Drosophila melanogaster: one gene and its partner. The protein of the gene in region 1 interacts with the protein of each later gene in a pairwise test. Each region holds a gene or a part of one and is shown on either strand. Other genes may lie near its edges. The genes, in order: CG10208 and CG7564.

Region 1 (3,516 bases):
CCGGCTCCCGCTGCATGGACATCGAGTTGTTGGCATTGGCGCCCACGGCCTCCAAGTCCAATTCCACGAACTCAAGTATGTGACCACTCTGGTCGCGGCGAGGAGCCAACTTAGTGCTTCCCGGGCAACGGGGCGCATGCAACAGGCGCATCGGATCGAATTTGCGGGGCAAAACATCCGGCAGGGGATTGTGGAGGGACAGCTCCGGTCGCAGGATATAGTTGCGCAGCCGTTCGAGGTTATCCTCGCCCCTAATCTCATTCATTTTAATAGTTTATTCCTGGCGAAAATAACTTTGTTTAGCATTTGCCAAAATACAAGGAAAAAATCAACAAGAGTCGGCAGATAATTTGGATGGACTGGTCACCCTAAAAATCGAGAAACAATCGCGTAACGAATTGCATCCCGTGCAGTGTGCAAAGATATTTTAATTTTTTTAATTAAAAATAATTTTAACGAATTTATTCCAAAATTTATATTAAGTAAAACAAAAACTCAATAATTATTGCAGTAATATATTTGTATTGATAATTCGTCATCAATACGGAAGATGATCTTGCACATCTCTATGGCACTGTTTACATAAATGGCACGCTGTTAGAACCAGATTTCCGCACACGGAATGAAAATGGTTCTGTTTACTTGCGACGGAACACTTCGACCTTGAGGGGGTGGCACTTGTCGTCCGGCACATCGGCGCCCACTGCGATGGAGACATCGCCCTGTGGACAGGCGCTCAGAGCCACCAGAAGATTCATGTCGGCCACAAACTCAATGAAATCCCCCTTGCGCGCTGGACTTGCCTTGCAGAAATACTGATGCGTGTCCCGTGTAAATCCGGTGCACATAAAGATGTTCCACACGTCGTGTACATCCTGCTCGGTCAGCCCGCGCTCCTCCACCACCGCCTTGACTAGGGAACTGTGGCAACTGCCCACCCGATCCTTGCCCGTGATTAGCTTGTAGGTGTAGTCGTCGCACCGTGTTCCAATTACGTCGTGCAGAGCACCGCCATCCTCATCGATGCCATAGGCGGCAAGGGAATCAAACACAAAGGTGGCCATGGGACGCAGGTGGGGCAGGCAGCTCCACAGACGATCGTAAACGCGCAGATGCGACGAGTGCAGCTGGCGCGTCTTGCCCGAGTAGAAGCGCTCGGCGGTGTTCTCCAGATTCCAAAAGTTCATGTCGCCCACCTGAGAACCTTCGTGGACAGTGACGCGGCACAAATCACCCTCTTGCATTGTCCAGGTGCGTGCCTCCCGTTTGGGCACAATCAGTGTCTCCACAAGATCGCCAGTCAGGGCACGATAACGTTTATTCTGTAGTCTCCGAGTCGGATTAGATTATTTTATCATTGTATTATTGCTATTGTTCGCGTTACTTACATCATACTCCTCCTTCGAAACGATCGAAGCTGCGGGCTTGTCATAGCAGATGACTGGCGGTTCCTTTTCAAAGGTTCGGGGCTTGGCACCGCGCCCACACCAGGAGGCGGGGGCGGCGGAGGTTTCAGTGGGAACAACAGCAGCCATGGCCAGTGAAACGTTTTTCGCTCGTGCAGCAGGTAAGAAGCTAATCAGAGAGTAAATATGTTGTGGTCTAACTAGCGATCGAATGACTACTGATCTCGCTCCACAACTGGACTAAACAGGTAGGTCCCAACAAAGCTTTCGATAGGCACAGCGCAGTTCTATCGGATTTGAAATGATTCCCAGCCAGCGAACGTTGTTAGAAACATTTTTTTTTTTTACTTTCTTATACTACTAAGTTTATGAAATTTATGAAAATCAATTAAACAAATCAACAAAAAACTATTATTCTTCTGGTCTTTTCCGACGAAACGTTTTTTAAATATTAAGCAATCATACATAAATGATGCCGTACTCAAACCTATGCTACAGCTGACTTTTTTTTCTTTTGCGAGGGGGATGCTAATCAATTGATTATAACTAAGTTAATTTGACCCTAGACTAAACATTGTATCTTCGAGCTTTGTTTGTTTCGGCACCTATATCTCCATCATGGTGGGTTGCTGCCGCTCGCTAAATGGTGGCTCGTTTTGGATTTTGTCTAGTAGCTCCTCCAGCCAGATGCGCAGCTCCTTTGAGGCGAACTCCTGCGGCAGTGGCAGCCGCTCCAGGGCCACCTTAAGCACCGTGGAAGACTCCATCTCGGGACAGACAATGCACATGCCGTGCACCAAGCAGCTGAGGCTCTGCGAGATTTCACTCTGGCACAGGCGGTGCTTGGAGGTAGGGCACGGGAGCAGACTGATGCGGGAGCAGAGTTCGCTTAGTTGTGGTTTTAAGTTCTCCCAGCGCGCATTGATGTCAGCGATGTTGGTCACACTGCGGATCTGTTTGAACTTGGCACTGATGTCGATAAAGTCCAGGAAGATCTGGCCCTGGTTGGCCCAGTTGGGCACTCGGATGCTGCTGCCCTCTGTATCCTCGAATTGAATGAGCAGGCTATGCAGGTATTTCATTTTACCTGCAAGTTTGCAATGACAATTGTTAGTAATCCACCGAAATAATTCTTATCATAAGGAACCAACCGTTTATGATGGCATCAGGAGCAATGTGTTGGAAGATGACATCGTGCGCCGTAGCAAAATGTTTTGCCTTTAGCAGATATTTGGCTTGAAGGTGATGCTTTCCTGACGCTCCCGCCTTTACCGCCTTCGCATAGTCCACCCACGACATCGGAATACCAAGCTCTTCGACGATAAAGCGCTCTTCCGCATATAGAGCCACCTTGGCGGAAACGCTGACATTCCTCTGTAGCATTTGCTGAACTGCACGTTCCCTCTGGGTCTGCTGCTTAATATGCAAAAGAACAAAGATACCCCACTGCCAGAGGCCTTCGTTCTCCAACTGGCTAGCGAAATCCACCGAAAGACGAGCCTCCGTTAAGGGCGAACAGTGACGGTAGCCAAGAGCTCGCAGAGTTTGCAAGAGCAGCCAGCTAAAATGATTTGATATGATTTATTTTGCACTGTACCAAAAAATTCTTTTAGCTCACCTCAAACGAAAGTCCATGGCATCGGCGGTATGCGTTATAGGATTGAGAGTTTCTTCCAGGGAATGCATACGTTTAGAGTGTAACTGGAGCAAGTGGTAGCGCAAATCGTAGACGGGCTTCTTGGTGTCAGTAGGTGCGTCCCTGTAGCTGGGCTTTGGGGGCTCCGCATAGCACTCTTCCGCTTGGAAGGCGTCGTTATAAGCATTGAGTGCATCGGTGATAGACGATGTTGGGGCTGTGAAATACCATAGCTGCAGGGCCAGTGCTGTCAGCCAGTTTTTATTCTCGAGTAAGTTGATGGCCCCATGTGAAGACTGCATCATTGGCGCTCCGGCGGCCAGCATGTACATCTTAAGGCGCTCCAGATCGATATACTTATCCGACTTGCTCTGCTGCCAGGCAAAGAGCTGCTCCTCCATTAATAGCCGGAAGACAGCTCCGGAACTTAATTGGGACAGCACAAGAGCCAGATTAGCATCATCGTAGCTGAAG
Region 2 (5,369 bases), on another chromosome or scaffold:
GAAAACGGCGCCCAAGTGTCCCTCCAGAAACATGATGCACCGCCCAGTGCGCAGATCCCACACTCGTCCAAAGGCATCCAGACCGCCGGTGACCAGGACACTGCCGTCGGAATGATAGCTAAGGCAGTGAACCGGCTTTGCGTGCCCTTCCTGGTGAAGCACCTCTGTCTTTTGCTCCAGATCCCACAGCCGCCAGCTAGAGTCGTAGCAGGCGGTGGCCAAGAAGCGGCCGGAAGGATGGAAGGCTACCTTAGAGACGCGATGCGGCATGTGGCCGGTGATGTCGGCAATCGACTCTTCGTTGTTGAAGCCCCACAGCTTGACGGCGCCATCGTGGCCACCGGAAGCCATGGCCACCACGTTCTCCTCGTCTGCCTTAACTCCCGGCCGCAGAGCCACTCCGCCCACATAGCTGGCATGTCCACGCAGCGTCTGCTTCAGCTCGCAATCGGGCACGCTCCACAGCTTGCAGAGACCCGACCATGAGGAGGTCAGAAGGAGTGAGGAGTCTTCACTGAAGGCAGCACTACTCACGGGCCGTGTGTCACCCACCTGGGAGCACAGTGGAGCCAGCGACTGGAGCTTCTTCTGCATCTCCACCATTCGGCCGGCACGTGCTGCGCTGGGCACTTCAAGGGCCTCACGTGCTCGTACCAAGCGATCCTTGGCGCGCGGCAGGGAATAATCCGCCAGCCAGAGTCGAGCGATACGCAAACTATCGGGTCCCTCGTGGTACCAGGTGGCCTGATCCTGCTCCCGCTGTTGCTGCTTGCGCTCCTCATCCTCATACTGCCTCTTGTTGATGGCGTTCTCGCCCAATCCAGCCAAGAGTTCCTTAAGACGTCTTCTTCGCTCCGCCGGTCCTTCTCCAAAATAGCAAATGGGTTCGTTTAGCTGGCGCAGATTGCTCTTGATCTCCGTGTCGTCTGTGGACACATTTATCTGTCGTGCTCGCTTTTTCCGCTCAAATTCCTCAAGGAGCGCCACCTTGTCGCGCTCCATTTCCATCTCTAGATCGAAGTAGTCATCGTCAATTTTGTTGGCCAGAGTAGCGGCTGTGGGTGGTGGTGCTCCGGCCTGCTTGGCGTTGCTTGTCTTTTTCGTGGACTCCTCGTAATCCTCATCGGAATCGATGTCTTCCAGTTGCCCGCCTGTTCCAGTTGTTGTTGTTCCTGCCCCAGACGATGCCGTCGTTCCCGATGTTGTTGTTGCTGCTGCCCCAGACGCCGCGGCATTTTGCCGCTTGCGTTCCGATTCCTCGAGCGATCCATAGTGCAGCGTTCGCTGCCGCTTAATGTACTGTATATCGTCGTCATCGGACATCGTTGCGGCCAGCAAACAAGTGCAAAATAATTAATTTTAAAATAAAATTTCGCCGAAACAACGAAGAAACAACAAAAAATATTGCCGTAAAGAAAACGTTTTGCTGCCTAGTGTTGAGCAACGCCGAGAGGGGTGGTTTAGTGATGCCATCACCGATGTTTAGAGCGGTATGCAGCGAATAAGCAATAGTTTTTAGATCGATATTGTTTGTTGTTTATTGTTAAATGAACGGTTTTTGAAACTCTAAATTATATTTAAAACAATAACTATTTAAAACTGAAACTTTATTCCACGTGTTTAATAAAATTTTATATTAAGATCGCGATATACCGTTATTAGAGAGAACTACATTTGTTCTTGGAAATTAAATGATGTGCCTTTGTTTTTTATTTAATCATTTAATCAACAATAATCTATATACTTGGATCTGAACAAAAGCCGTTACTCCCAGAAACCGTGACTTTTCACCGATATATCGCCTACTCGTGCTTCACAGCACTGTTTTTCAGCACTACCCCATTTTAGAACATCCTCACGCACGCACGCACAGAATTTTCTTAGGTGATTAAAAGTGAGTGAAAATTGAGAATTTCCACACGCGTCGCACGCTATTGGTCACAAAGCCAGTGAGATAGCTGTCACTGCCACCGCTGCAGCATTTTTCACGCGCTCCTGGCCAGAAGGATATGAGCGCGCCGAGCAACAAAATGTCGGCCACCGATCAGATGCGAGCAATGCTGGACCAGCTTATGGGTACCACACGGAATGGCGACGAGCGCCAACTGAAATTCTCGGACCCCAGGGTCTGCAAGTCCTTTCTGCTCGACTGCTGTCCGCACGACATCCTGGCGTCCACGCGCATGGATCTCGGTGAGTGTCCCAAAGTGCATGACCTGGCTTTCCGCGCAGATTACGAAAGTGCCGCCAAGACGCGCGACTACTACTACGACATTGAGGCCATGGAACACCTGCAGGCCTTTATTGCCGACTGCGATCGACGCACCGACTCCGCCAAGCAAAGGTTGAAAGAGACCCAGGAAGAGCTGACCGCCGAGGTGGCTGAGAAGGCCAATGCTGTCCATGGCCTCGCCGAGGAGATTGGCAAGAAGTTGGCCAAGGCCGAGGCCCTGGGCGAGGCCGGCGAAGTGGAGGACAGCATGGAGCTGATGAAGGAGATCGAGGAGCTGCGTGCTAAGAAGATCAAGGCCGAGCACGAGTACCGCACATCTATGCCCGCATCCACCTACCAGCAGCAAAAGTTGCGCGTCTGCGAGGTATGCTCCGCCTACCTCGGGATTCACGACAATGACATACGTCTGGCGGACCACTTTGGTGGTAAGTTACATCTCGGATTCCTCACTATCAGAGAAAAGCTGATCGAACTGGAGAAGACGGCGGCGCCGCGGAAGGCGGAGCTCAAGCGGACGGGTAAGATGACGGACCGCGAGGACGAGGGACGCGGACGCAATCGCTACTTTGTAGGTGGTCGTGAACTGGACCGCCGCTCTCGCGTACATCGTTCCCGCTCCAGAGAACGACAGCGCAACCGGGATGGGGACCGCGAACGCCCCAACAACGGACGCGGTCCTGAGGAGAAGGGGAGTGAGCGACCCAAGGAAGCGGCAGATGGTCCGGAGCGAGCCGAAAGGGCACCAGATCGTGGAGGACGGCGAGATGACAGGGACAACCACGGCAGGGATCATCGCGAACGGGAACGCGATGGCAGGCGGGATCGGGACCGACATGGACGCAACGACAGAGGACGCTTTGGTGACAGAGGCGGCGGTGGAGGAGGCGGTGGCCATCACCGTGACGACAGACGCCGCTCAAGGTCCAGGGAACGCTCGCCACGCGAACGGCGGAACTTTAACCACTTCAGGGATGGTGGTGGCGGCGGAAATGGCCAGCGCAAACGATCCTACTCCCGTGAGCGCAACTACCGCCGCTAGGCTAGAATCCCGCCCAGCGCACGTACGTAGCATTAATCACATGAACTATAATGCCACCACAAATTGAACTACTGAAAACAACAGGAACCGAATATTCTTAGCGTAACCAATAAAGCAACCTAGAGCCACACTTTCGACGCTCCAATATGAAGATACAACTACCTTTGTACATTTTTAATAATTTAATTGATTTCTATTTTTGATCTTGCGTTCCAACCTCTAATGACAAATTTTTGTTACTACCCCAAAGTAAACCGAACGCAGTCCAAGACCCCAGCCTCAATAAAAACTTTAAGAGAAACGATATACTCGATATAATGCGATTGAAATTATATAGTCCCCGTCCAGTCCAGTGTACTTGGCACGTAGAGACAGAAACCCAAACAGAAAATAGAAATCCCAACGAATCGGCAGTGTTGTCAATTAAAGTTCAGTTCATTGTAATTCGGTTAGGACACAGCGGCAGTCAAGTTAAAGATAACTAATTTATAAGGATTCAGAGCAGGAGAAACGTTTAATATATGATATTTTGTGTGTTGTATAGCTAGCTACAAGTTGGTAACATTGACTGAAACCCAACCAAACCTGACCACATTCGACCATGTACTCTTCTCAGCTAACGATCACGTTCACCCAGTCGAAGTCAACGTGTGTTGTGCATCGCTGTCGTCCCGCTTTGGGGTAAGCCTCCACCATATTTAACTCTGACACACTCCATCACTGCTCTGATTTGATTTCATTTGATATGATATGATTTGATTTGATTTGTAACCCCAAAGCGTTCTCTACTTGAAGTTCCGTTCCACACTTTCGCAGCCGCTTAAACTCTCGCACAGCTTCGGTACGTATTGAGTATGGCGAGGTGACTATATACATTATACCAGACCAATGTTAGTTGTTTTGGCAGATATGCGTATTACATAGATAATCCAGATAATATAGCTTGGGTACGTATCCATACCGGCCGACGACGTTTCCTTTTGAATCGTCGAATGAGAGTGTCGTTTATTTATTCGGTTCTGGGTACGTATTAATGTTAGAAGATCACGACTGTGGTACGTATACATATAACGACTATAATGGTGCCCCATAAGCAAGCCAGGCTCTCTAGGGTTCTCGGCGATCCAGATCCCAACGTACGTATTTCTCCTCCTCCTTTCTCTCTCTCTTGAAAATAAATAATAAAAAATACAATCACCACAAACCAAAATAAATTTTAATCTCGTAGCTGTTTAGAGGCAATTGAATTAAAATCCGTTTCTTACTAAATCTCTGTTTATCTTGCCAAATGGTACTTGAACCACTGTAATGATGAACTCCAATTAAGAACACAAGTCCGTTTTAAGTTGAAGGCAGCCGTCGGGCTGACATATATTTATTCAATTTCTTCTTTTGATTTTAGAGTAGGCAGAAATGGTTCTGTCAGCTCAACGTCTACAGAGTCTCTCTGATTTTACAGTTTTTTATATATTTTGACTTAGGCTAATCCGCGTAGCTGCGCTGCCGGGTACGCCAGCAGCGGAGCGGCGTTCTTATGTATATCTTATATATCTAGGCTTATCGGGAGAGCGAGATATGTATGTACGTATGTAATATGTATTTGGTCGGCGTGTGAATGCTGACCATGCACTTATACTTTTTGCCTTCGAGTGGGTGATCATGTTACATCTGCCCTGGCCTAACTGCGTGCATAAACATAAACATAAACATAGCAACAAAGTGCTGCCATAAGTTAATATGCTATTTTATTTAATTGTTCTTAATATTGCATAGGCACATACTACATCTCCCTCCTTTTGAAAAATAACGTAACCTAGTGAAGTTATTTTGATTATTAAATGCAAATTATTTTATTTTTATTTTTATTTTGTTTGTGTTTTTGTTTGAACAACAATAGTTGATTTTATAATGCAAAGATAAAAATATACGTAGTGTATGGAAAATTTGTATAAATGATTAAGGAAAATATAAGTTTAAATTCAATCATGAATGAAATTTCTTTAATCTATCTTTATGAACTATTTGTTTTTTGTTTTTATTAGTAAGTAGCGTAATATTGTTATTATCTCCTATGCTTTCTATCTTATAGGGCCCCGT

Evidence for each region.
Region 2: the proteins of CG10208 (region 1) and CG7564 interact in a two-hybrid assay, tested with the Drosophila melanogaster proteins (one large-scale study listed by BioGRID).

What each region holds. Positions count from the first base shown.
Region 1 is NT_033777.3:23,772,498-23,776,013, forward strand, and holds CG10208 (uncharacterized protein), read right to left. Parts: upstream 1,631-3,516; 5' UTR 1,536-1,630; coding exon 1,389-1,535; intron 1,323-1,388; coding exon 639-1,322; 3' UTR 501-638; downstream 1-500. Other genes in the region: tst (twister), read right to left, coding at 1-265; Nup98-96 (nucleoporin 98-96kD), read right to left, coding at 2,012-2,493, 2,558-2,967, 3,025-3,516.
Region 2 is NT_037436.4:17,512,459-17,517,827, forward strand, and holds the start of CG7564 (uncharacterized protein), read left to right. Parts: upstream 1-1,839; 5' UTR 1,840-2,009; coding exon 2,010-3,272; 3' UTR 3,273-5,369. Other genes in the region: U4-U6-60K (U4-U6 small nuclear riboprotein factor 60K), read right to left, coding at 1-1,323. UniProt on the Drosophila melanogaster protein: May bind to RNA via its Arg/Ser-rich domain.